4 linked regions of the Caenorhabditis elegans genome follow. The protein of the gene in region 1 interacts with the protein of each later gene in a pairwise test. Each region holds a gene or a part of one and is shown on either strand. Other genes may lie near its edges.

Evidence for each region.
Region 2: the proteins of bar-1 (region 1) and axl-1 interact in a two-hybrid assay, tested with the Caenorhabditis elegans proteins (one study listed by BioGRID).
Region 3: the proteins of bar-1 (region 1) and pop-1 interact in binary tests that used the Caenorhabditis elegans proteins (3 or more experiments, as listed by UniProt).
Region 4: the proteins of bar-1 (region 1) and pry-1 interact in binary tests that used the Caenorhabditis elegans proteins (3 or more experiments, as listed by UniProt).

Annotation. Positions count from the first base shown.
Region 1 is NC_003284.9:7,165,478-7,172,506, reverse strand, and holds bar-1 (Beta-catenin/armadillo-related protein 1), read left to right. Parts: upstream 1-1,881; 5' UTR 1,882-1,890; coding exon 1,891-1,958; intron 1,959-2,072; coding exon 2,073-2,199; intron 2,200-2,264; coding exon 2,265-2,360; intron 2,361-2,417; coding exon 2,418-2,522; intron 2,523-3,155; coding exon 3,156-3,302; intron 3,303-3,348; coding exon 3,349-3,473; intron 3,474-3,521; coding exon 3,522-3,636; intron 3,637-3,690; coding exon 3,691-3,903; intron 3,904-3,950; coding exon 3,951-4,196; intron 4,197-4,241; coding exon 4,242-4,355; intron 4,356-4,398; coding exon 4,399-4,542; intron 4,543-4,590; coding exon 4,591-4,716; intron 4,717-4,762; coding exon 4,763-4,858; intron 4,859-4,901; coding exon 4,902-5,133; intron 5,134-5,177; coding exon 5,178-5,266; intron 5,267-5,312; coding exon 5,313-5,469; intron 5,470-6,119; coding exon 6,120-6,355; 3' UTR 6,356-6,502; downstream 6,503-7,029. Other genes in the region: pgp-10 (P-GlycoProtein related), read right to left, coding at 6,621-6,757, 6,870-7,029.
Region 2 is NC_003279.8:8,511,885-8,518,026, forward strand, and holds axl-1 (Axin-like protein 1), read left to right. Parts: upstream 1-2,015; 5' UTR 2,016-2,034; coding exon 2,035-2,106; intron 2,107-2,240; coding exon 2,241-2,441; intron 2,442-3,336; exon of another isoform or gene 3,337-3,441; coding exon of another isoform or gene 3,442-3,507; intron 3,508-3,982; coding exon 3,983-4,102; intron 4,103-4,145; coding exon 4,146-4,195; intron 4,196-4,304; coding exon 4,305-4,430; intron 4,431-4,473; coding exon 4,474-4,638; intron 4,639-4,908; coding exon 4,909-4,985; intron 4,986-5,033; coding exon 5,034-5,118; intron 5,119-5,165; coding exon 5,166-5,321; intron 5,322-5,370; coding exon 5,371-5,521; 3' UTR 5,522-5,629; downstream 5,630-6,142. Other genes in the region: K02B12.2 (Myb_DNA-bind_3 domain-containing protein), read right to left, coding at 1-350, 404-467; tnsl-1 (Tonsoku-like protein), read right to left, coding at 5,650-5,838, 5,886-6,025, 6,076-6,142. UniProt on the Caenorhabditis elegans protein: Works in parallel with pry-1 in negatively regulating bar-1 signaling in vulval precursor cells and Q neuroblasts. Shown to have a role in excretory cell development.
Region 3 is NC_003279.8:2,827,295-2,831,944, forward strand, and holds the start of pop-1 (Protein pop-1), read right to left. Parts: upstream 3,018-4,650; 5' UTR 3,000-3,017; coding exon 2,825-2,999; intron 1,305-2,824; coding exon 1,186-1,304; intron 1-1,185. UniProt on the Caenorhabditis elegans protein: Transcription factor. Part of the Wnt signaling asymmetry pathway. Binds to the consensus sequence, 5'-(C/T)TTTG(A/T)(A/T)(G/C)-3'.
Region 4 is NC_003279.8:14,173,357-14,181,334, reverse strand, and holds the start of pry-1 (Axin-like protein pry-1), read left to right. Parts: upstream 1-1,974; 5' UTR 1,975-1,978; coding exon 1,979-2,083; intron 2,084-2,979; coding exon 2,980-3,042; intron 3,043-3,101; coding exon 3,102-3,191; intron 3,192-3,236; coding exon 3,237-3,374; intron 3,375-3,824; exon of another isoform or gene 3,825-3,897; intron 3,898-4,139; coding exon 4,140-4,321; intron 4,322-4,368; coding exon 4,369-4,500; intron 4,501-5,122; coding exon 5,123-5,351; intron 5,352-6,074; coding exon 6,075-6,255; intron 6,256-7,175; coding exon 7,176-7,598; intron 7,599-7,761; coding exon 7,762-7,861; intron 7,862-7,978. UniProt on the Caenorhabditis elegans protein: Works in parallel with axl-1 in negatively regulating bar-1 signaling in vulval precursor cells and Q neuroblasts. Inhibits Wnt signaling, which affects tissue specific expression of Hox genes, egl-5, lin-39 and mab-5.

The sequences.
Region 1 (7,029 bases):
GTCTTATTCTTTTCTTCAAAATTGATAATATGTATCATTATCATGTGTTAAAATTTTCATTTCTCGCAATCTTTACTTATCATCTTTTTAGAAACCCAACTTTGGAATATTGACGCCTGTATTGAAAAATTGGTGAAGGATTGAAAAATTTCAGTTAAAAAAAGTTATTTTTTTATGAGATCCTTTTTGCAATAGTCATAAATAACACACATTGCAAGTTAAAATAACTTTTGAGGTTAAAAATGTTTTTTTTTAGCACAAGACGGAAGCACTGATTTTTTAAATATTCCAATTTCCTGTAAGATTTTGAAATGTTAAATGATGTCTTTATGAAAGATTGCTCATAAGGAGAACACTGTTATCAGTAAACCCCCGACATGGAGCACCCGTTGCAACACTTTTCTCCATTTCTTAAACAAACTATTCTTCTTTTATTGCTTTTTCTCGACGTAATTTCACTTTTTTCCGGTTGTAAAATAATAATATATTATAAGTTTTTACAACTTAAAAAATAAATTGAGCAAAAACTTTTTCAGAATAGTATGAAAGATAGTTAATTCATTAATATAATTTTTAAGTTGTAGTCTTTATGACATTGTGTACATAACAAGTAAATGCAATTTGTCTGTGAAAGTGTTTAAATGTACAAACAATAGGCAACTCATACCCACTAAATGAGTCATTAACGTGTCCTTCAAAAAATCAAAGTTCATAGTATTGGAAAACAGGATAAAAAGTCATATTAATGATGATGCTTTTCTTCAGCGGAAATAAAAAAAAACCTTTTCAAAAGTGTATCATGAAAATTAGCAATTGATCCATTGCATGAAACAATAAAAAAAACATAATTTATAGTAGTGAACTCCAATAAAATTATAATAAATAACAATCAAAGTTTTGCTTAAATAATTTGAATGCCAGAAACTTAGCCTGAAAGAAAATTAACTTTTTTTTATCATTCACAGTTTGCAATTTTATCCTGCAATTTGAAAGTTAACACAATTTTTAAAAATTATTTTTAAGGTTGTACTCTTGGTTATTCTAATTTGCCATGATTAACACTTTCCTATTGACCAAACTTTTGTCTAAAATGAATAATCCTGATAACGATTCTGTCTAACGGAAACCAAATGATGGCTTGTTTGATTTTCCACTAGAAACCTTTTGAAAAACAGCAAATCTGGGTCGTTATGCTGATATGATATAAATGAATAAGAAAATAAAGAAGAATAAAAATGAAGGACTTGATAAATAAGAGTCGACTAATTATCCCAACTGATAATTTACGACTAAGCTATCCCATTTCTATTTTCTCTCCCAGCCTTCCCAGTTCTCCTCCCAAATACATCCTTATCAAAGTTGTTTCCCCCGTCTTTCCCGTTTGTTCATTTCAAACCCACAACTGATGACTGTGTGCCTTCTCGTTTCACCACAGATAATCATTATTATTGAAACATACCTCTAAATTTTATTAGCCAATTTCACACCTTTGGCTGCTCACTCACTGATAGGTGATTGAAAGCACGAAAGAAAATGGGTTGAATAATGCGAGCGGGACGGGCAAGGGGATGGGAATGATTGGGGGTGAAATAGAAGCCATCTGATATCAATAGCCCTTTACTCTAGGTTAGGTACAAACCGCTCATTTCTATTATTGCTTTTTCTTCATTACACAAGCCTTAGACTCTCTATCTCACTATTTCACCGCCCCATCACCACACACTCTTTCTTGTGCCCAGCAGGAAGATTTGTAATGTTTTCAAACATTTTGTTCATTCAGTTTTTTCACTGCTTTTTCCTATTTTTTCTCTTCATCCGGCAGACAAATCGTTTTTCTTGTTCGAATTGATTCATAAAAAAATATTTGGCTTTTTTTTTCAGAAAACTGGGATGGACCTGGATCCGAACCTAGTTATTAACCATGACGACACAAATTTATCAGAGGCATCTTTTACAATGTAAGTTTTTTTGATTGAACGAGCCTGCAAATTTGAGGAAAAGAAACAATTTATTTTGATGTTGGGAGTTATCAAAAAAAAAATTTTAAAACTGTTTTAAAATATTTTTTACAGGGAGCAACACACCTCGAGCTATTCGGATATACACATGGGCTCAACGCCCTGCACCGGCCACCGCAAGGTGGATATGTGGCGGAATCACAACTTTGATAGCGGTTTCCAAACAATGAATCACAGTGAGGTACGAGAAAACAGAGGAGAGATAGACACACACACACAACAAAGATTAATGTGTTTCAATTTCAGGCTCCATCTATTATATCATCTCTACATCCGTCATCGCATCTTTCCGGAATGTCATCCATGGCCGACTATGAGCCGATCCCCACTCTTTCAGATCAAGTAAGACCATTTCATATCAAAATGCGCTGGTGGACAAAATTGTTATTTTTCTTCCAGCAAAAACAAAAGTTTGATGGGATCACGCAAAATCAAGCGGATGGGCAGTATAACACAGTTCGAGCAATTCCAGAACTCACTATGCTTATGAAAGATCAGGATAATGTAAGATTTTTTTGTTCAAAACTTTTTTGAAATATTCATACTCATAATTTCACAATATATGAATTAAAAAAATCCTCGGTTTTGACCTATTTTTTATATTTTAATTATATTCAAACATCTTGTATTCCAACATGCAACAATGCTCGAAATGTTACAAATTTTTGGAAAACTTAGCAACTTATCAGAACTGTGACTGAAATTTTTGAAAAAAAAACTTTAAAAAATTAGAAACGTATGTCTACTATTACTATTATTACTATTACTATTACTATTACTACTATTACTGGACTACTATTATTTCATTTAGGTATAATATGATGTTAATTGATTTTTAACTTTCAATTACTCAAAATAAATTATCAAATCTACAGTAAGAAAAATATTTAGTCGAATTTATTCACTTAAATTTTCAAATCACAAAATCTGAAATTAAACTATGAACTTTTGATTTCAGTACTGATATTAACACAAAGATAAATTGGTTCTAATGCTGCTTACTGATGAAGCCGGTGTTTGAACTTTTGATTGTTTGTAACATTTAAAATCGATTATCAAAATTGAAGTATCTGGAAAAAATTTAAAAAAATTGATTGTTCTGCTGAAAAAAACATTATTCAAACAAAAATCTTACAGGAGGTTGTGCACAAAGCTGTAATTCTGATGCAAAATATTGCGAAGATGGAGTGTGACCCAATGCGACGGCAAAATGAAGCTCGAATTGTGGACCCCCGTGTTATATTTACACTGCGTGATCTTCTCCGTGACAAAGTTGAATTCCCGGTATAGCTTGTGCACTTGCACAGTTTAATACATCATATATTTTCAGAACATCATTCGTTGCACTTTGGGAACATTCTTCCACATTTGCAACCGACAGGAAGGAATTGATCTTGTCACTCGAGCGATCGCAGAACAACCTGATATAATTCCAAATCTTATTAGGCATATTGGGTAAGAAAGTTAAATTTCAGAAAAAAATCATTCAAATAGCTGTTACAGTACTTATCCAAGTTCAATATACAAATATGCCATTCTTACTATGCATTCGATTCTGTCCGATAAGCAGAGAGGCGGACAAAGTGTGATCATTGCGCGTCAACAAGATGCGATTACTGTAAGATTAAAGAAGAAAAAAAATTGAAAAAAAAAAATTTACAAAAAATTGCAGCATGTGACTCCGTGGTTAGAAGCGGAGAAATCAGAAAAACTTCTTCCAGTGATAGTTGACTTGATCAGAGTTTTGTGTGAAAAGAACACCGAACAGAAAATCAAGTTTGTGAAAATGGGAGGACCTCAAAAACTGCTCATGCTACTACAACACAGAGTTTATGAAAATTTGCTTTGGCGAACTACGCAACTTTTGAAAACATTTTCGAACTTTGTAAGAAATATTTGAAACTGAAGGATGTAATGTCTGAACTTTTCCAGGACGCTCCAAATCTTGTTGCTTTTGGTGGTCGCCAAATTCTCGCCAATCTTCTTTCACATGGTAGTCCGCGACTTGTACAATCAACCCTTGAAACTTTGCGAAATATAAGTGACGTACCAAGCAAAATAAAAGAAGATTTACTTTTGAAATCTCTTCTGGAGCTGGTCAATTCTCGAAATACAACAATCCGTCTATATTCTGCTCAGATAATGTCAAATCTAGTTGCAAACAACAGGCATAACAAGGTGCTTTTGTCAGAAATCAAGATATAGTATTAATTTTAATTCCAGGAGTTTATGTGTGGCAACAATGGGGTTGTCATTCTTGTGAGAGCTTTAACAATTGCCACCAAAGAGATGGGTGACTTGAGAGATAAAGAAGCACAGCAAATGGAGGATTATATTGTAATAACATTTAAATTTCAAAGCTTAACAATACGGTTTTCAGGAAAGCCTAATTTGCACGCTACGGCATCTCTGTGTTGGACATCCAATGTCAGATAAGGTCCAAGCATTTGTTTTCCGAGATCCTGCATTATTTCTACACAAATTGTTAACAATGAGACCAGTATTGCTGAAACACACATTGAGTGTAAGTCATTAATTTGAAGGGCTAATAAGAAATTGAGATTTAATTTAGCTCCTGCTGAAAGTTGTATCCCAACATGCCCTTCTTGCTCCATTCCGATCATGCCGAATTGGAGATAAAGGTTTTGTTGAGCAACTCATTCATATTTTGAGAGTGGCATGTACCCAGCTGAATGTGGTAAGTAAAAAGTCAACAAACCGACTAATAATTGTTGGATTTCAAGCAAGAATCTATCGAAGGTGTCCGCGTGAAAGATATCATTCATCTTTGTATTCAAATCCTGCGATGGATTACAAGAGACCAGGACATTCTCAACGAGGTATTAATGTTTTCAGGTTGAAAACCCAAATTTCAATTTATAGGTTGTTTTCTTCCTGCAAACTCCTGAAAATAGCCGAATGGGCGATGGTCATACTCTTCCAATTTTTGTATTACAAAAAGCCAACGTTGAAGAGAACACGAAATCATCGGCTCTGGCCTTGATTTATAATTTGATGCATCATGAGCAAATGGCAAACGTACTTGACAGAGATGACGTTCTTGTTAAAATGCTTCAAAATGTTCAAATGCAATCTCAAACTCACCCTGAATTAGGTAACGTTGCACACCAATAGACAAGTAGAACTGAAAATTTACAGCAAGTCTAGCAAATAATATTCTCAAGATGATGTATGAGAAGCGAGAAAAGACAAGGAATACTCTTCCAAGATACAATTCATATTTAGAGGTAACACAAAATGGGGGATAACTCTAAGAAAAAGTCAGTATTACAGAGCCAATTTGGTCACATGAGCATGACCACCCCACGAAGCGAAGCACTAAATAGTAGCGGTGAAGTGTGTGAGGGAGCTGGAGAGCAATGGTCTACACCTTTAACAGATGATACTATGATGGATTCGTATTGCAACAGCTCCGGACGAGATTCATCAAGTAAGATATAAGATGACAATTTAATTTGCTCTAGGAAGCTAATCAAATTTAACAAATAACTTTCGGCCATTTTGACATTTGCCGGATGTCAAAATTTTGAAGATGTCTTTAGAAAAGCAGTTTAAAATATAAGCTCAACAAAGATATATGTTCGATAATTTTCAAAGCTTCGGCAACACGATTGTTCGTTGCCGAAAACTTCCCGAAGTTTTTATATATTGCCAACTTTGATAAACGCAGGATTCCAAAGATTCTATCTACATACATAGTTTTGCTTACCATTGTGAGAGCGAAAAAAAAACTTAGGAAAATTGTTATAGATGTAATTTTTCAACTTTTTTAAAATAACAATCAAAATTTGACAATTATTCATTTTACATAGTTACCCATTTTTTGGAAGTAAAAATTGTTTAAATGTGAAATGAAGGTTTTTAATTAACGTATTTGCTCTATAAGTGGGGGTGCCAAAACTTTTTGAAAGAATACATATATTTCGTAATATTTTATTTCGGCTGTATGATTGTTTTGTTTTTTTCTTAAGATTATTTTACTAAACTTTTCACTGACGCTACTCCACCTTCGAATTGGATTGAGACAATATACTATTAAAGAAACTATGAACCTAGAACCAAAAACAAATATTTCTTCAGAACCATACAACTCACCAATGTACCATTCCCCACCAGCAATGTATCCAGAATACTCAATTGGACCTCCCGAGACGTACTTGGATCCCCATGCCACAGCATCTTGTTATCCGCGACCAACGCCTCCTCAATATAACAGCTATGACCGTAGTCCACCAGTTTACAACGACCTTCCATCAAACCCTGGTCCGAGTAGTCATTCGTCTGATTATTATCCTTCTAGGAATAGTCGATTTTAATTTTTTAATTATAACATAGACCCCCACACTTTCCACCACCCCAGTCGGATATTTGTTGCACATTCCTTGAAAATGAGATTCTAATTATTTGTATACGGGTTCATGAATTGGCATGCAAAATATGTTGAATAAAGTGAATTTTTATTGAATTTCAATTTCAGAAAGTGTGTCAGATAAGAAAATTTTTATAAAAATAACAACTATTATTTACAAATTATGAATTCCAGATTCAGAGTGTAGTTTTTGCATGCCAAAACAAATTCATTTACGTCATTTGATTCATTTCGTAGTAGATACCCTTCAAGTTGATAAGCTGCTCATGGCTACCTTCCTCGGCAATTTCTCCATGAACAATAACGTATATTTTGTCGACGTTTCGAATTGTTGATAAACGATGAGCGACTGGAAAAAAAACATTTTTCCCGTTAGAGATTTGCCAATTCTCGTGACGTACTGGCTGAGAGTTTAAACCGCATTAAATATTACTTTTCAGTTTCAATATACTAATTCTTACTTTGAATACACGTGCATTGAGTCTTCGTACTCCTCTTGACTCGTTCAAAAGCGTTTTGAACTTCTCTCTCGCTGGCGCTATCCAATGCCGATGTTGCCTCATCTAACAGTAGAACAGTTGGTTTTCTGATAATTGCACGGGCAATTGCAATTCTTTGTTT
Region 2 (6,142 bases), on another chromosome or scaffold:
AGCAACAAGACTTTCAATTGCTTTATCAATTTTATCTGAAGATTCCATAAGTTTCGTCTCTTCACGCGCAACTTTCTTTTCGATTTTTGCCTCAATTTTTGGTTTGACTTCTTCTGATTTTCTCTTTTTCGCTGGTGACGGTTTGCTATGAATATCCTCTGCGTTGTGCTCATCTGGCATATCTAATAGTTCGATAATAAGTGTATTCCATTCAATTGTATCCTCATCATCTTTTCTGTATTGAAGATAATCGATCATTTTCTTCTGAAGTGCATCCAATTTCGGAAGAACCCATGTGCAATTCCCGCATTTGCTTAGATCGGTTGTAGACTTTACATGAGTAGTGTAATCTATAATACGGATATTTATTGGGAATCTTGTAAAGAAAAATAAAATAACTTACGATTAACTATCACTAGAAATTCCTCGATTCTCATTTGATCCACAGATTCATCGGCCATAATCATTTTTTTGTTGAAAAATCAGAACTGTTCAAAAAATTGGATAACTATCGAATGTAGAAAGATTCAAATGACTACATCTATGAGTGTCATGCAATGGTGCTCAAAACCGATCGATTTGTTGCTCTAAACCTTTAGGAAGGTCCGTTCTTCCACCATAGAGTCTCTCAATACACCTGTCTATAATTAGTCTCTCCCTTTCAATGTCTCTTATCTAATCCGTCGACTACCATGTGCACGAAAACATTCTCGAGAGCAGAGATTTTAAGGGAAAAGATAATTATAATGGAATCCAGGAAATGAGTGTAGTTCGATATCAGTTGTTGATAACATTCCGGAAGAGTTCAATGGTGGCCTATAAGGTCATCAGTGCTCTTGCCCGCCTTCGACACTTTTCCCAATAATAGAAATTCCAAAATTATACTAAACTACGGAGTTCACCCCAAATGCACAAAAGACACTTTACTTTCAATTCGAAACTTCTATTGTTTTCAGAAAGTATATCATTCGATCCCAAACTCTCTGGACACCAAAAAAGGTTTTCTAGTCAGAGTAGACATTTTTATATGCAAAGAATTGAGTAATATACTGTCATAATATCAAATTCGTCAATTTCAGTTATATCATGTGTGTACTGTTGAAGAGTACATCCATCCCCATCTGTTCCCACATCTGTCAGTTCATTTGTGTCGGCTGAATGTAAAAGTAAGTGAGTCAATCCATCGAAGGTCAACTTCTCGCGCGAAACGACACACTCCTTGATTATGGAAATTTCAAAACTGCTATATGCCCACATTCGCTATGCATTCCATGGTTTTATATTTTAACAATTTAAAAATTGATACATCAATATTTATCGAATTTTACTACATGTTTTCTTTCAGAAATCGGTGCTCTTAGTTTTAGAAAAATTGAAAATAGTGACAATAAGTGTTTCGGACAGTTTAACGTCACGAAAGACATTCTTTCCAGTAAGAATTCCGAAGGAAGTAGCCCCCACTTTTACTGATATGCCAACTTCTCGCGATAGACGCATTCGAGATAAAAAGCGAGTTTTCAATAATTAATAAAGTGAAGAAATTTCAAATCAAAACAAGAAACCCACGGCTTTTATAACTTCAGTTTTAAGACTACTTTAGAATAAACAAGGTGATAACCATCAATTCCCGAATTGAAAAAGTTAGAAAATCCTTCCAAATATTGAACTCTACTAGAAAGCTTGCATTTTGGCAGAATTTTTTTTATATAGACTTTTCAGCTATATACTCTAAATCGTGCTATAACATTTTAAACCCTTATTTTACGAGACTTGAACACAAATTTCTCCATTTCCTGTCTCCACACTCATTCTCTCCCTCTATCGTCAATTTATTTGCCAAGACGGTAGGGCTCTCGATCGGTTTGACACAATATCTCATCTCTTTCCGTCTAACATTTCGACGTTTTTTTCGCGCATTTGCTCAATCTCCACCCATACTTCAAATATTTAATCATTTTTAACCCAAGTTTTTCTTGTTGATAAATGATCTTACATGGGTAAAATACAAAACTTTCAGTATGAAACGAAGAAATAATGACGATGCGATCGAAATTCTCCATTGATCGAGTTCTTCATGATACCGCATTTGCCAAATGGTGTCAAAAGGTAGAGTAATCGTTGTATCGTTTGGAAAAATCGTATTGTATACAGTAATTACGTTCTGAAAATTAATTTTTTTAATTTATGAATCTATGTAAATATAATTAAATTTCCTGCCAAATAATTAAATCATGTTCTAGGAAGAATCGCGGAACGCCGATTCGATAACCCTGTACACGTCAATTTTGGATTTTGAATCCAAACTGAAAACTGGTTCTCCATCTCTATCTCTTTTAAAATTGGCTAGGCATATTCATCGAAAATACGTCAGTTTGAATACTGGAACATGCCACGTCATCGGTGATTCAATACGCACTAAGATCTCCACACGGGTACATGAGGTAATGATCAATATACTTGTTAATGTTTGTCTAGTCAGTTGAAATATCGTCGGTTGGAATATTTGTAAAAAATACTTATATGATAGTCAAGCATGCCCAAATATTTAATTTAATAACTCCATTTTTGATATTTCGAAAATTTCAGTCAAATTTTCAAAAATTGTACTTTTGATAACTTCTGAACATTCCTGCACGTCCGAATCAGATGTGGGCAACATTTTTGGAGTCCAGAAGTTATGAAAAATCAATAAATTGTTTCCCTGCGAATATTCTAGGTCAAAATCAACAAATCCAGCAAAATCGAAATTTTTGAACAAAAATGTGGTCAACTTTTCGTTTTCTCCTGATTTTGAGCCTTGATGCTAATTTTGTTTCCTAAACTGTACATTTTTTTCTCCGTTTTTTTTGCATTTACAAGCTTTCAATATTATTAAAAAATTACAAAAATTACTTTAAAAACTTCGCAAAAGTTTTCGATCGGAGTTTTGAATAAAATTGTTTTTTGATTTCTTGTCCTAAGAAACCTGATTCAAATCTCTACAATGTTCAAATACTAATAACTAAAACATAACCTAAAAAAATCAAAGAAGGTTTTGATATGATAATCATTCATTCTAGCACCACGGGAGTAGTTTTTTGAAAACTACCCCACTTGCCATACTTTACCTTTACTTTGGAATATTTACTCAAATTTAGGCAGCCGTTTTTCCGTAGAACCGCAGGATTTTTTCATCTCTCCGAACATTTCTCGGGCGTGTTCTCTGTTCTTTCAAGTGATAAAAAAGAAGAGAAACAGTTTGGCAGTTCTTTTCTTCGGATACCTGTCAAGTACCATGTGCATACACACAAAAGACACAGTGAGGACACTTAACACAAATTCTTAGTGTAGATCAACACAGGTTGACACGTCATTAGGCTTGAAAGTGTTGGTCAACACAAAGAGAAGAAGTGCTTCATTTCTTCAAATAGATATTTATTAGTTTTTGATTTTGTTACCTCCATGGCTACAATGTCGAGACGGTGGAATTATTTCACACCCCATTATAATGATGAAGGTTCAATTGATGTGAGTAATTGATTATTGTTTCAATTTTTATACTTTTTCTAGTAATTTCATATTTATTAAAATACTGCTTTATGAAAAATCGCTCGTTAAAAGATTTTACAGTTCCGACTATTTTCGAGCATTGCCGTAGGGTCACCTTCCTAAAATTTTCCTAAAAGTTTCAGATCCGGCATTTTAAAAATATTTAAATTTTCAAAAAAATGGACGTAGATATATCAGTCGACATATTACAGTACCTTTTCTAACGGTAGATCTGAATTACCTGTTACTCATATCTTACCTTTTTTGTTGAAAATTTGTAAAATTGTCATATTTATTTTATTCGAAAAATCTTATATCCATATCATAAAATTTCAAGAAAAGTAAAACTGGATATCATCATGAATAATGTCTTTTCATCAATACAACTTTTTTATTGGAAGTTGATGAGAACATTTTTATCCAAATGTCATTGTGAAACCATAACATTTTTCAGGTTCTCGATGGTAAACCCCCGTACATAGACTTATTTGATCCTCTCAAACAACCACTTTTCCAACATTTACGGTCAATGCACACTGAATTTTCAACGACAACAGCCGATGTTAATACTACTGTAACTTGTGGTTGACTCTAAAATTTATCGAATTTATTTTCAGTGGGAAGATGCGTCATCAACAAGTTCTTCAAATAAAGGTGCTACAATATGGTTAGTAAAAATAAATTAAGATATGCGAACCGGATAGTAGAGCCGTTTTGTAGACACCCCACTAAATAAAATAATTGAAAGAAGATTCTCAAGTCACACAAATTTTCAGGTTCAATGAAGACGCAATCGATAAATCATCCCGCCACGAAATAGGTCAAAGTACAGTAACCCATGAGTCGGAAGATGATCGATTTTCGTTTTTCAATGCTGTCTGTACACGCCTTAATTCCTTACAGTACGTGCTTTTTGATATTTCGAATATTTAGAAATCGTTTTAGAGAAACAAAAAACTCATCAGAAACAGAAGAACACGCAGAATCGCCACGAAAAGAAAAATCTTCAACTCCATATGGGACTGATGGATTTGCACCGCCACCGAGGAGCACACAGACTAATACATTGAAAGTTTCAAATCTTCCGAAACGTTTTGAATCTCTTTACAAGTGAGTCTTGTGACAAAGAACCCATCTGCCGATTTTCGGCAAATGCTCATGTTTAAACAATAATTGCCAAACTGTGTTCAGGTTTTCAACATAAAAAATACGGTGCCTGGTCTCAAAACGACCGAAACTTCGAAGCTACAGTACTCGGAAATAGTTCTCAATTGCCCACAGTTTTTTACATTAAAAATATATTAGAAAAAATTGAGTTCGAGAAAAAATTGTCACACGGTCTAAATACTTTTTCTTCGGATAAATTGAAGTAAATTTCAGAAAGAAACGCCAACAAGTTGCCACATCAGATTCCAGCGGATTCGGAAGCAATGCTAGTGATTTTTGGAGTTTTGAACGTAGGAAGTTCCCAGTTTTCAAGAATTTTATTCGAGAATTAATTTCAGGTTATGGAAAATCCAATCAAGGAACACTTGAAAGACCAAATCGATTATTTACGGGAACAAACAACGGGTTTTCCACATTACAACCGTAAGCTTTCACATCAAGAATGGCGGTTAAATAATATATATTTTCAGAAAGAGAAGAGGTTCAGAGGCTCCAAAAATGACTGTAGAACTACGATACGAGAATGATGTTCCGATGGTGGCAAAGATTTCAGCAAATCATGCACAATCCGTCACTTTAAGATATTTTAGACATTTATTCGGTCTTCACTATACTGATAACTGCCGGTAAAATATTTTTAATATCGCCAAGTTTTCAAAAAAAAAGTTTGTTCAGCTTTTTCTTTAAATCAACATGCGAAGATGGTTCCGCTCAATATCAATGGACTCTGCTCTTCCATGATGATGACATTCTTCCCGTGTTTCAAAATAGAATTACAGCAATTTGTAGAATGTGTCCTCCTCCAGAAGATCATGATTTAATTTAACTTTAATTATTCGTATGTAAAGATATTGTCGTCAGTTTTTGTCTTTTAATTGTACGGTTATTCATTTCATTTTACAGCAAAATGTGATAAACAGTATTGACGATAATTGATAAGATAATTGTGAGATACTAATACAAAATATTAAGGGCTCTGGGACATCCGCTGTGTAGTTCTTGTGGGAGACTTGGGTCGACTGTAGAATAACTAACATCTACATGAGTTATTCGTTCCATAACTGATAATGTTTCAAATACAGAATCCCAATGAAGATCTGATCCACGAGCAGAAAATGAGCACAAATGCGAAAGCCAATCAGACTGAAATTGAAAAGGTTAACATTTTATAAAAATCTTCATGAATGCACCTCAAACTCCACTTTTGTTTTCGTTTCATTTATGGTAAGTTCCTCTAAATTCTTCAATTCTCCCAATATCAGAATCCAGATCTGATCGGAAATCCACGAGGAGTTGAAGCTCAAATCCAACTTCTTGAGATGAGACATGCCTGTAAATTGAGCTTTTTGGTATTTTGGATAAAGTTAATGGAATACAAACCTATAAAAACTGATGGGATAATAGTATCAATCGAAGTATTATTCGCAAGCAACCGTATTCCAGAAAG
Region 3 (4,650 bases), on another chromosome or scaffold:
GAGGCTTCTCCAACAAAAAAGAAGAAAAAACTGTTTTCGAGGAAATGCAACGAGTTTTTGGATTCAGAAGATAATAGATTCAGTTTTTCGGTGAAAATTTTGTAGAATTTCTCACGAATTTTTGGCTTCCCTCATAAAATGAAATGGAAGAGTTTTTGCCGAACTAGGTCATTTTGGCTCAGTAGATTTACGGCGCGTTGCGTGTCGCGTCGCGGCTCGATTTTAGTTGTAAAACTAAATGCACTTGTCCGTGTGGAGTACACGACTATCCCAGTCCGGCGGGCGATTGTCAATGGAGCGCGAAAAATTCAATGAGGAAGGCCAGAACCCCATGGCGGAAAGCCAAGAATTTTTGGATTTGGAAGACAATAAATTCAGTTTTTTAGTGGAAATTTTGTATTATTTCTGCTTTTTGGGGAAGAAAATTGTAGGAAGAATAAAAAATTAATACGGTTTTTTTTCTACAAAAATGGAGAAAAGCCCTAAAAATTCTTGAAATTGGGTAAAAATTTGAATTTTTTTTTTTTGGAATTTCTGCTTTTTTGGGGAAGAAATTGTTGGAAAAATGATTTTTAATAGGATTTTAAAGCAATTTTTTGCAAATTTCGACGATTTTTGATTCAAATTGAAGAATAAGCTCAAAAATACACAATTTTCCATATTTTTCAATAAAGCTTTCGATTTTAGGGTGTTTTTTCGCTTTTTTTAAATAATTTTTGGTGTAAATTCTTAAATTCCAAAAATATAGAGGCTCTCGAACCCTTTAAAAATTCAAAATACATAATTTTTCCCATTTCTTAGGCAATTTCTGGGCAAAATATTGAAATTGCAACTTTTAAAAGTATTTCTAATGCCTAGACTACATAATTTTTCTAATAAAATAGGGGGAATTGTCATAAAAAGGATTTTAAAGCGATTTTTCGTCGATTTTTGGGGGAAATCTTGAAATTTCAACTTTATAAGGTATTTATAACATATTCGAGGCCTAATATTCACCTTTGTTTTCAGATTTTTCAGTGAAAACTTCCAATTAAAGCCGATTTTTTGCCAATTTCGGTAATTTTTCGTTCAGAAGTATTTAACTTGTTAACTCTAAAATACAATTTTAAGTCGATTTTTGTCGATTTTCGCCAATTTTTATGTGTTTTAATTCAAATTTTTTCAATTTTCCAAGTAAAAAATCACCATAAATAGAGGCATAAACATGGGTAAAGCAGCTGCCGAGTATCCAGGACTGAAGTGTGACATTAAACCGGGAAACGATGGTGACATTGGTTCGACTTTTGGAAATGCACTTTTTAACACTGAAAATTTGATAATTATTCGGTTAGAATGGTTAAAAAAGAGCCAAATTTTTGATTTTCAACCGATTTTTTGGCAAATTTCACAATTTTTAGTCAAAATTCTTTAAAATCCAATTTTATAGGGTTAAAGATTTCATTTTTCCAGATTTTTTCATGAAAACTCCGATTTTAAAGAGATTTTTCGGTAATTTTCACAATTTTTAGTTAAAATTCTTCAAAACTCAATTTTATAGGGTTAATTATCTCATTTTTCCTTCAAAATTTCGATTTTTGAAAGCGATTTTTCGCAAATTTTCACAATTTTCAGTTAAAAATATTTTAAAATTCAACTTTTATAGTGATATCCGAGTTCAAAACCTCTCATTTTTTAGATTTTTCAATTGAAAATTCGATTTTAAAGCGATTTTTCGTAAAATTTTAAAAGGAATTTCTAGCACCTCTAAAGGCCTGAAATACATAATTTTTTAGATTTTTCCATTCACAGATCTCAAAAAAGGTCAATTTTTGGCGCCAAGTTCAAATTTCTCAGATCAATTTTGAATATTATCCAATTCTTAATCCTTTCGCACCCCTATACAGTCTATTGAGCACACACAGACGGACCAACTTGTTCAAGTACTCACGACGGATTAGCACACAAGATAACGGACCGAGATAGTATGGGATTCGGAGAGACGCAGATGGTGTTCGAACACCGTTGCGTAACATCCTTTTACGTCATTATGTCATTGCGTAAGGCCCGGGACCATCAGGTCAATTCTTAGGGGTGTTTTGAAATTAGCATGGATTTTTTTAATAGAAAATAGTGAAAACCGGAAAAAAAATTGGTTAAAAATGAGTAAATTTCATTTATAAAGTGTTAGAAATACTTTAAAATATAAAAAATGGCGAAAAATCGCTTTAAAATTGGTTGAAATTCAAAATAACACTGAAAATACTCAAATTTGTCAAAAAAAAATATTTTAGCGATTTTTAATTAATTTAAATTCCCGCGCTTTTGTCTCGATTTTGAACTCCGCCCATAAAACCGTGCCGCACTTTTGCACTTTTTAATTTCAACGTAAAGTCCAATTTTTGGGTTGTTTTTCTAGCTTTTAATGAATTTTTCGGCGATTTTTAAAACCTTTTTCTCCATTTAAAAACTGAAAAAAAACCCCCAAAATATGGATTTACGCTGAATTTGAAAAAAAAACAAAGTGCGGCACGGTTCTATGGGCGGAGTTTAGACAAAAAATGCGGGAATTTAAATAAGGTTTTTTTTTCAAATTTAATGATTTTTTTCTCTTTTTTTGGGATCAGTCTTAGCATTTAAAGTTTTTATTTAAATTATTTAAATTTAAATTTATATGTATTTTTTTAATATTTAATGTCCCTTTTTCCTGCAGAAATTTAGAAATTTAGAAGAATTTTCAAATATTTTTTTTGTGTAATAAAGTCGAAAGGCAATTGAGGTGGTCCATAAAATTTTGTGTGATAGCTGGCCACCTTCCCCTTTCGATCAAATTTATTGGAAAACTCACCATCAATCGATGGATTTCGACCGGCACCGTCTAATTCTGCTTCCATTACAGCTTCTTTTTTATCATCGGCTAACTGTTGTTCTGACGTTTCACCACTAATCATTGGATCATCGTCAGCATCCTCATCCCGACGGAACACCTTCACCTCATCGCCGAGCTCTTCGTCGGCCATCATTTTTGTGTATTTTTATATCTGGAAATTTAGAGCATTTTTTAACGATTTTAATGGGAAATTGACGGAAAAATGGAGGGAAAAGAAGCACGGAACCATTTAAAACAAGAAAAAAGGGGGACTAGGTCCGCGGAAGTTAGGCCATGGAGAGGGGAAAGACGCGGGAAATTTGAATTCGATAGGATTTTGGGGAGAAAGTGGAGGTTTAGACTTCTAAAATTGGAAAATGTTGAATTTTTATTGAATTAGAGATAAATTTTGACGACAAAATCGAAATTTTAGATGAAAAACTCAAGAAAAATCAGCAAAAACGGTGAAATTTGTTTTAATTTTAATTTAAAAAATACTTTTGTCCACCGTAACTTTTAAAGGCGCATGCCGCTTATTTTGGTGTGGGTCTCGACACGAATTTCGAACAAAATTACTTTTCTTTGCTTAAAAATGTCGAATTTGAGCTGTTTCGTTGAAAAAATAATTTGAAACGAGGAAATTTCGATGTGAAATATCTAGAAATTGATCGAAAACTTCGAAATTTGTTCAAAATTAAATTTTCAAGTATTTTTGTCTACCGTAACCTTTAAAGGCGCGTGCCATGTATTTCAATGTGGGTACCACCGCGAATAACAATATTTTTCGGCTTATTAATTTGTAATTTGAGTTTTTAAAAATAAAATCATAAATTTTAAACAAGGGAATTCCGAACAAAAAGGAGAAAATCATCAAAAATCTTTAAATTTGTTTAAAATTCGCATTTTTCGACATTTTTGTAAATATACCGTAGTCTTTAAAGGCGCATGCCATGTTTTTTGGCATGGGTGACACCACGATCAGACTTTAAATACCTTAAAATTACCTATTTTTGACGTAGAAAATTACTTTTTTGCTTATAAATCCGAAACGCGGGAATTTTAAATTAAAGAGCAGGAATCGATACGGTGAACAAAACACATCTGTCATTGGCAACAGATGGCCTAGCCGAAAACTAGGCCGCTACTCGCTCTACAAAATTCAAAAAGAATGACGGGAAAAAAAAGCGAAAAATGTTCGAATGAAGAAGTTCCTCCAATTATAAAATGCAAATAAACGTAGAACCCAGCAGGAGGTAGGAGGGAGGATAGTGGAACGAGGAAAACGAGGCGAAAAGGATCCATAAAATTCAAATAAATGACGGACCGGGGGACGTGAGAAGAAGGGGGGAAGAAGACAAGAGGCGGTTGGTGGTGGTGTATGCGCGCGCTGTCGGTAGTGCACCATGGCCCCCCGCTACACCAATTTCTCTGCGTCTCTCGCTTTCATCGCTCATCAAGGGGCCGCCCATGCTAAATGGTGTGTGAGAAGGCCCTGTGTGTGTGCGCAGGTGGCCGACAATAATAGCTGTAGAAGAGGTTAAAAGAGAGCATGGAACTTGAAGAGAGTGGAGGTTGAGTGAGAAAAAATAAAAATCAGATTGTCCTGAAAAAAACCATTTAAAAATTGATAAGAAGTGATTTTTGTGGGCATCGGTAATCGGTAACCCGGGGCGTCAATATATATTTTTTATCGAAGTGTTCATTTTCTTCGTTGTAACTCACCGGGAAAACCGTGAGAATTGGCGGAGAGATAGAGACACAGCGTGTTTTCATCTTTTTTTCTTTTTTCTAATTCTCCTTTCACT
Region 4 (7,978 bases), on another chromosome or scaffold:
GACGGCGGGCTGGAGAGAAATATGAATAAATCGACAAGACGCAGGCACGTGTCGGCGAACATCAAAGAGTCGCTGGTTTTGAAGAAGGGGGCGCCTCCATTCTCACACCGACCGCCCGAGAAGAAGAGAGAGGAGGCACTTCACCCCCCAATTCTCTTTTCCTTCTCCTTTTCTCTTTACCCCCCTTGATTTTCCTACCCCCATCTTTTTCCTAAATCCTTCTGTTTTACCCATTTTCCTTTTTAGACCATCTTTGGGACTATAATATTTGCTTTGAAAACTGGAAAATTATATGAAAAATCCAGTTTTTAAATTTATTTTAGGCTCAGTTTAGGCCAAACTATTTTAGGTCTTTTTTAGGCGTAAAAATTTGAAAATTTTTAGACTCGGTTTAGGTCAAACCATTTCATGGCCAAATTTCGGCTTGAAATCTAAAAAAAATTACGGTAAAATCTTATTTTTTGAAATGTTTGAAAACTCAAAATATTCCAAGAAAAAAAAAACTAGTTTTACAACATTTTTCTGGGTTTTCTTAAAATCCTTGTTGGGCTAAGAAATTTTAAACTAAGAAATTTTGCTGAAATCTTAAAAAAATTGTGTTGTTTGAGGTTTACTGGCCAAATTTTAGACTTTTTTTTTAATGGCGATAATTTCAAAAAAATCAAGTTTTTACAGCGTCACATTTTTTAAACATTTTTTAAGCTTAAACTATGAGATAGCAAAAAATTGTCTACTAACAAAATAATTACCGTAAAATTTCCTACATTTTATTAATAGCCAACTTTTCGATTGCTTCAGGCTCCACAGAGTTATAACGGTTTGAACTCAAGAGGCGCTAGGCTCCTTTTAACTTCAAACCTCTATAACTCTACAAATAAAAAAGCTAGCAAAAAATTGTTAACTATCAAAATAATTATCATAAACTTTCCTACATTTTATTTATTGGAAACTTTTTGATACCGTCATTTTCTGCAGAATTACAGGATTTTGAACTTGACCTCTACGCCTCCCTTGGCCCCCAGTTTTAACTTAAACCCCTATAACTCTGCACACAATGGTGCTAGCAAAACATTTGAACTGACAAAATAATTGCTATAAAACGTCCTACAATATGCTAGTTAACAACTTTTTGATGGCATCAGTCTCCGCAGAGTTACAGCTATTTGAACTTGACCTCTAAGCCTCCCTTGGCCCCCAGTTCCAACCTAAAAGCTCCATAACTCCGCAGAGAGCAGAGCTAGCAAAAAGTTGTCAACTAACAAAATAATCTACGTACAATTTTCTACATATATTCAATTTAAATTTTTCTGCTAGACCAACTTACCAGCAAGATCAACGCCCCTAAAGTTAGGGGCCCCTCCCGGTAGCCGGTCGAGCGTCCCCAGTAAACTCTTCCGGGGGCACCCGAAACAATGTTCACTCATCAATCGTTGTCATCTTTCTGGAGACATGTGTCTTATCTGTGTGTGTGTACTACTACTCTTCCCAATACACCCCATTACTCTCCGTCACTATCTCTGCGTCTCTCACCCCCGCCACTCTCTCGCTCTCGCCCATTCATTGAGTAAGCGAGGGGCCTCATTCCTTGATTATCAGCCACTGATAGGAACAATAAGACACCCATAGTTGTTCCATTTTTGCAATTAGAGAGGGAATAGTGACGCTTATAATATATTGTATATCCTATATCTTATCACAGTTTTTTTTTTTTTTTTTTGTGTATAGTTTTGGCCTATTTTATAGGTTTTGAGGGGGTCAAACTGCTAAGTTTAAATAAAATTTGTTTAATTTTCAGTAAAAGCGTCATTAGAAAAGTTTTGAACAAAAAATTGAAAAAAAAAATTTTGGCAAAAAAATTATTTTTTTAAAATTTTTTCAAAAAAAAATTTCCCTCGATTTTTCAAGTTTTTCTCTACTTTTTTTTTTGAATATTCTCTTATTTCAACATAATCATAAAATTCACCTCCTTTTCAGGTGCATGGAGACCCATCTCGGTTGGGCGCGAAGCCTGGAGGCCGTTCTATCCGATCGATCGGCACTCGACGCGTTTCAGGAATGGCTTATTGAGTACTCCTCGCCTCAGGTAACTTTTTTTTTGGGATTTTTCTGCGAAATTTGGATTTAGCTTGCCGAGAGCTTCAAAATAAGTATAATCATGACATTTTTACGATGATTTTGAAAATTTTTAGGTTTTGGCGCAAAATTTTTAGATTTTCTTTTGCTGCGGGACCCAAAGTTCCAATATTTGAAATTTTTACTTGTTTTCGGATGTAGCTTGTCAAGAGCTTCAAGATGAGTATAATTATGCCTAGGTTACTTCAAACTTGAAAGAATCTGGGTCTCACCGCGAAGGTTATTACTGTAGTCCCAAATTTTCGTGGCGAGACCCTAATTTTTCAACCTTTGCGGAACCTGGACATCATTATACTTATCTAAAAGCTGACAGCGAGCTGACTTCGAATTTTATAGTTTTGCAGGCGAAATCATAATTTTGTGAGAATTTTGACCAGTTACAAGGAAAGTCTGCGATTTCACGTTTTTTCGAAAATTTTTTGCGAAAATTTCAACTTTTTTTAATTTTCGAGATAAATTTCTCATAATTTAATCAATCTTTTCATGCGCTTTTGGAAAAGCATAATCATGACCACGTTTCGCAAAACGTTGGGTCCCACCACGCAACCCATGGGGTTCTGTAGTTGTTTGTCGTTGTGGGACCCCATAAAAATTAAATTTATTGAAATTCATACACAGCATCCTGAGAGCTTTGAAATAAGTATAATAGTCTAGGTTCCGTCAAAAAAAAGTTGGGTCTCACCACGAAATCTACTACTGTGGCCCCACATTTTCGTGGCGAGACCCAATTTTTTCAAACTTGACGGAACTCATGCATGATTATACTTATTTCAAAGCTCTCAGCAAGCTAAATTCAAATATTGACTTTAAATTTCCGAATTCTCTAAAAAAATAAGAAATTTTCAGTACCTCGACTTGTTCTTCGCAATCCGAGCATACGAACGAATGGCGTTGGAGGGAAAACCGGAGGTATTGATTTTTTTGCAACTTTTTTGGCAAATCGGGCAATATTTATCTATTTTTTTTAGAAATCCCAACTTTCCAAGTCAATATACTCGAAATTTTTGTCCTCTCGGACCGGAAACTGCGAAGCAATTCCCAAGCATTTTAGGGCTCCGGTAAGCTTTTCTTAAAATTTTTTAAAATCAAAAATTAATTTTTGGATTGGTGAAAAACTACGTCATGGCACCGAATTAGAGGATCGGGTATTCAGTCATTGTTCGAATTTTGTTCAAGAATTTTTAAGACGCCAACACGAGGAGTTTGTGGGCTCCGAAGAGTTTATTGAGGCTTTTAATAAGGTAAATTGTTTTTTTTTTTAATTGTGAAAATTTGAATTTAGCTCACTGAGAGCTTTAAAATAAGTATAATCATGCCTAAGTTCCGTCAAATTTGATAGAAGTTGGGTCTCACCACGAAAACCTACAGTAACCCAGGATTTTCTTGGCGAGACCGAGGTTGTTTGGAAAATTTACAGAATTTGCGAAACCTATGCATTCTTAATGTAATATCGGCGGTCTCAGTTCAGATTTTCAGAATTTTGGCGAAAATTTTAGGGTTTTCCAACAATTGGGTCCTACGACGAAATTTTTCCGGTGCCTAACTTTTTGAATTTTGATTCTTTGCAATTTTTATTTACAAAATTAAACTCAATTGACTGAAAGCTTCAAAATAAGTATAATCATGCTTAGGTTCCGTTAAGTTTGAGAAAAGTTGGGTCTCGCCACGAAATGTATTACTGTAGCCCCAAATTTTCGTGGCGGGACCCAACTTTTGTCAAATTCAACCAAACCTAGGCATGATTATACTTATTTGAAAGCTCTTTCTAAGCTAAATTGAATTTTTATAGTCACAGTGTGAAAAATTTGAAAACCGAGAAGTTGGGTCCCACCACGAAAGGGTTACTGTAGGTTTTCGTGGCGAGACCCAATTCTAATAGAACCCAGACATGATTATACTTATTCGAAAGCTATTTTTAAGCTGAATTTGAATTTTAGCATTTTACGTATCTTATCGCAATTCTGAAAAAAATTTCCAATCCCAAAAACTAAAAACCCCAATTCCAGATGTCATCTACCACCGCCGACCAGCTCCCGGGAGGCTCCGCCCACCATTCATCACACCAAAACACCATGAGAAGGTCGTCAGGCACTACCTCCCGTAAAAGTGCCGCACAAATCGCCACCCAGCTCACAGCTGAGGCCCTCCTAAAATCGAAACACGACAGGCACAGCAAACTTGGAGAAACGTAAGTCGCCTACCTACCCTACCTATTTAAATTTGAATTTTTTTTAGAAAACTTGAGAAAATGTACCCACCGACACGTCAACCATACGTATGCAACGCCACTACCTCACACAACGACTCGGCTGTCAGCTCGACGTTTTCTGGGGACACGCCCGAAGCCCATAGGATGCATAGTAATAGGTAGGTGATTTTGGTTAATGTATTTGAATTAAGCTTGTTGAGAGCTTTTAAATAAGTATAATTATGCCTAGGTTCCGATAAAATTGGGTCCCGGCACGAAAATCTACACTAACCTTTTCGTCGTGAGACCCTACTTGGCAGTTTTCAGATTTTTTACTTTTAAATTGTGATAGCTGAGCTCAACTTACCAAGAGTTTCAAAACAAGCATAAACATGCCCAGGTTCCGTTAAAATTGGGTCCCGCCACGAAAACCCCGAGTTACTGTTGGTAGGTTTTCGTGGCGAGACCCAAATTTTTTCAAACTTAACTGAACCTAGGCATTATTATACTTGTTAGAAAGCTCGTTACAAGCTGAACTTTAATTTCAAATTTTTAGGGTTCAATAAATTATTTCTGAAAAAAATCGCGACGAGACCCAAATTAAGCTTATTTTTTTGAAAATTGTATTTTTTTGAAAACCTTAAATTTTAGTGTTGAGAGCTATTACTACAAAAAAACCAAAAGTTTTCGCGGTAAGACCCTAAAATTTTGAAAATTTTCAGGCCATGGCATGATTATACTTATTTTGAAGCTCTCAGTGAGCTTATATCAAATTTTTATCTAAAAGTGTCTAATTTCCAGACTCCGCCATATCCGAGACGAACAAGCCCGCGAGAATCACGGTACCATGACACTGCCACGTGTCGAAAAAGCCAGCGTCGATGGTCAGCAATGGGATCATTCTTCTGAATCAGGAAGAAGAAATTTTGCAATGGAAATCACCAGAAAACTGCTTAGGCATATTGATAAGGTTAAGCTAAATGATGAGATGGAGAAGAGGATTGACGATATCGAAGAGTGTCGGTATACGGTAGGTTTTTCAGTTTCGAGTTTTAGGCTTTGAATTTGTAAAATTTGAAATCAGCACGCCGAGAGCTTCAAAATATGTATAATCATGACTAGGTTTCGCCAAGTTTGAAAAATTTTGGGTCCCACCACGAAAATGTGGGGTTACAGTAATACCTTTCGTGGTGGGACCCACATTTTTTAAAACTTGACGGAACCTAGGCATGATTATACTTATTTTGAAGCTCTCAACAAGCTGAGTTTGAATTTGTAATTTTTAAAGTGAAATTCAAAGAATTTTAGGGTCCCACCACGAAATCGTACTTCGCGGCAGGACCCAACTTTCTTCAATTTTGCAATTTTGCTTGGAAACTTATAAATTGGAGCTAACTTTGCTCATAGCTTCAAAATAAGTATAAACATGTCTAGGATCCGTTTTATTTAAATATTCCTGGTTTAAGCGTACAGTAACCCTAGATTTTCGTGGCGAGACCCACTATTTTTCAAATTCAACTAAACTTGAGCATGATTATACTTATTTTGAAGCTCTTTACAAGCTGAGCATGTTTTTTTAGTTATCTAGTCACCACTGCAAAATTTGGATTTTTTGGGTCCCACCACGACTACAGTAACCCTGGATTTTCGTGGCGAGACCCATTATTTTTTGAATTCAACTGAAATAGGGCATGTTTATACTTATTTTAAAGCTCTTATCAAGCTGACTTCAATTTTCAAATTAATTTTTCAGACAATCGACATGGTAAACGGCACGGAGCCCAACGACGATCTGGGGAAAATCGATGAGGACGAGGAGTTGGATGATTATCTGAAAATGAAAATGACAGATGATTCCCAAAAAGGATCAACAAATCGATCACCTAAAGGCCCAGCAGGAGAGCCCAACAAATCTGGAGAAGGATCGAAAAATAGTGAGTTCCCATGCTCCGGTACCATATGTCGGGTTATTCTCATGAAGGGATTAATATTACTAATAGGTGTTAGAATTGGAATAGCTGTTAGTAAACATCTTAATGACAAAAATATTTGTCAGGGAACGTTTTTTTTTAGTTCGAATCTATGAAAATTAAAAATAAAAAAATTTTTGAAATTTTTTTTGAGCAAAAACTTTTTTCTCCAAAATTAATAAATTTAATTATTGAAATTATTAAAATCACGTCTGCCTCATTGAGAGCTTCAAAATAAGTACCAACATGCCTAGGTTTTCTTGATTTTGGGTTCCGCCACGAAAATGGGTGTTGTAGCTTTTCGTGGTGAGAACCAACAACTACAAAATGACATTTTTGCTTTAAAACTACAAAATGCAAGCTCAGCTCACCTAGAGCTTCAAAATAGGTATAATCATGGCTAGGTTCGGTGAAATTTGAAAATTGTTGGGTCTCGTCACGAAATGTATTACTGTAGCCCCAAATTTTCGTGCCGAGACCCAAAAATCTTCTAATTTGACGAAACCTAGGCATGTTTATACTCGTTTTAAAGCTCTTGACGAGCTGAAAAAAAAAATTACTAAAACTGTAAAAGTTTTAAATTTTAAATATCTTTCGTGGTAAGACCCAAATTTCTGAAATTTCAAAAAAAAATCCAGTATTTTTATATTTCCAGTCAATTTTCAAACTCAGCTCGTTCAGAGCTTCAAAATAAGTATAATCATGCCTAGGTTTGGTGAAATTTGGAAATTTTTGGGTCTCACCACGAAAGTTATTACTGTAGCCCCAAATTTTCGTGGCGGGACCCAACTTTTTTCAAACTAGACGGAACCTAAGCATGTTTATACGTATTTTGAAGCTCTTCATGAGCTGAATTCAAATTTCCAATTTATAATATTTTCCAGCCACCCTCTCCCCAACCAATCGTGCTCCCGCTCAGCTCCACAACACAATTCGGGTCCCGAGACGAAAAGATTACCCCCGGGACACCTCGGCTTCTCTAAAATCTCATCGTCACCATCAAATCGACACAAATCGAATGATGAGCCAATCAATGTGCGCTCCATCGTACTCCTCAGCCAGCTCCTCCTACAGTAGGGACTCCTTCGCGCCGGCGCCCACTACCAGGGTGAATTTTGCTCCGGGGAGCAGCAAATCGAGTCAATTCTATGATTCTTCGGGAATTGGGTCTATGGCACCGTCGGCGTTCTCCGCCACTTCGTCACTGGATTATAAGGATCGGAGGCAGCACAGAAAGGCTCCAACGCCTAAGAAGCACTCGAAAATTGGGAAAAATTTGTCGAATTTGATAACTATTAGCTATTTAGGTAAGGTTTCATTTTTTTATACAAAAAAAAGTGAAAAAAAAAATTTTACAAATTTTTTTTTGAAAATTTTTTTGAACTTTTTTTTCAGATTTTCTATGTTTCTAGGGTAGATTTTACCCTAAATTTTATATTTTCTAACATTTTAACTCAAATTTTTTTCCAGGAACCGATAAAATCCCTGTGGTAACACATGTCCCTAACGATGGACCAATGACGTTGGCGGAGTTCAAGAGGCACTTTGCTCTGCCAAATGGAGCACATCAGTGAGTTTTTTTTTGGGTTTAAACTGGGAAAATATTGATTTTAGGTTGATTTGGAAGTTTTTGGAAAATTTTGAAAAAAAAAATTTTTGCTCAAAAATATTTTTTTTTGGAAAAACA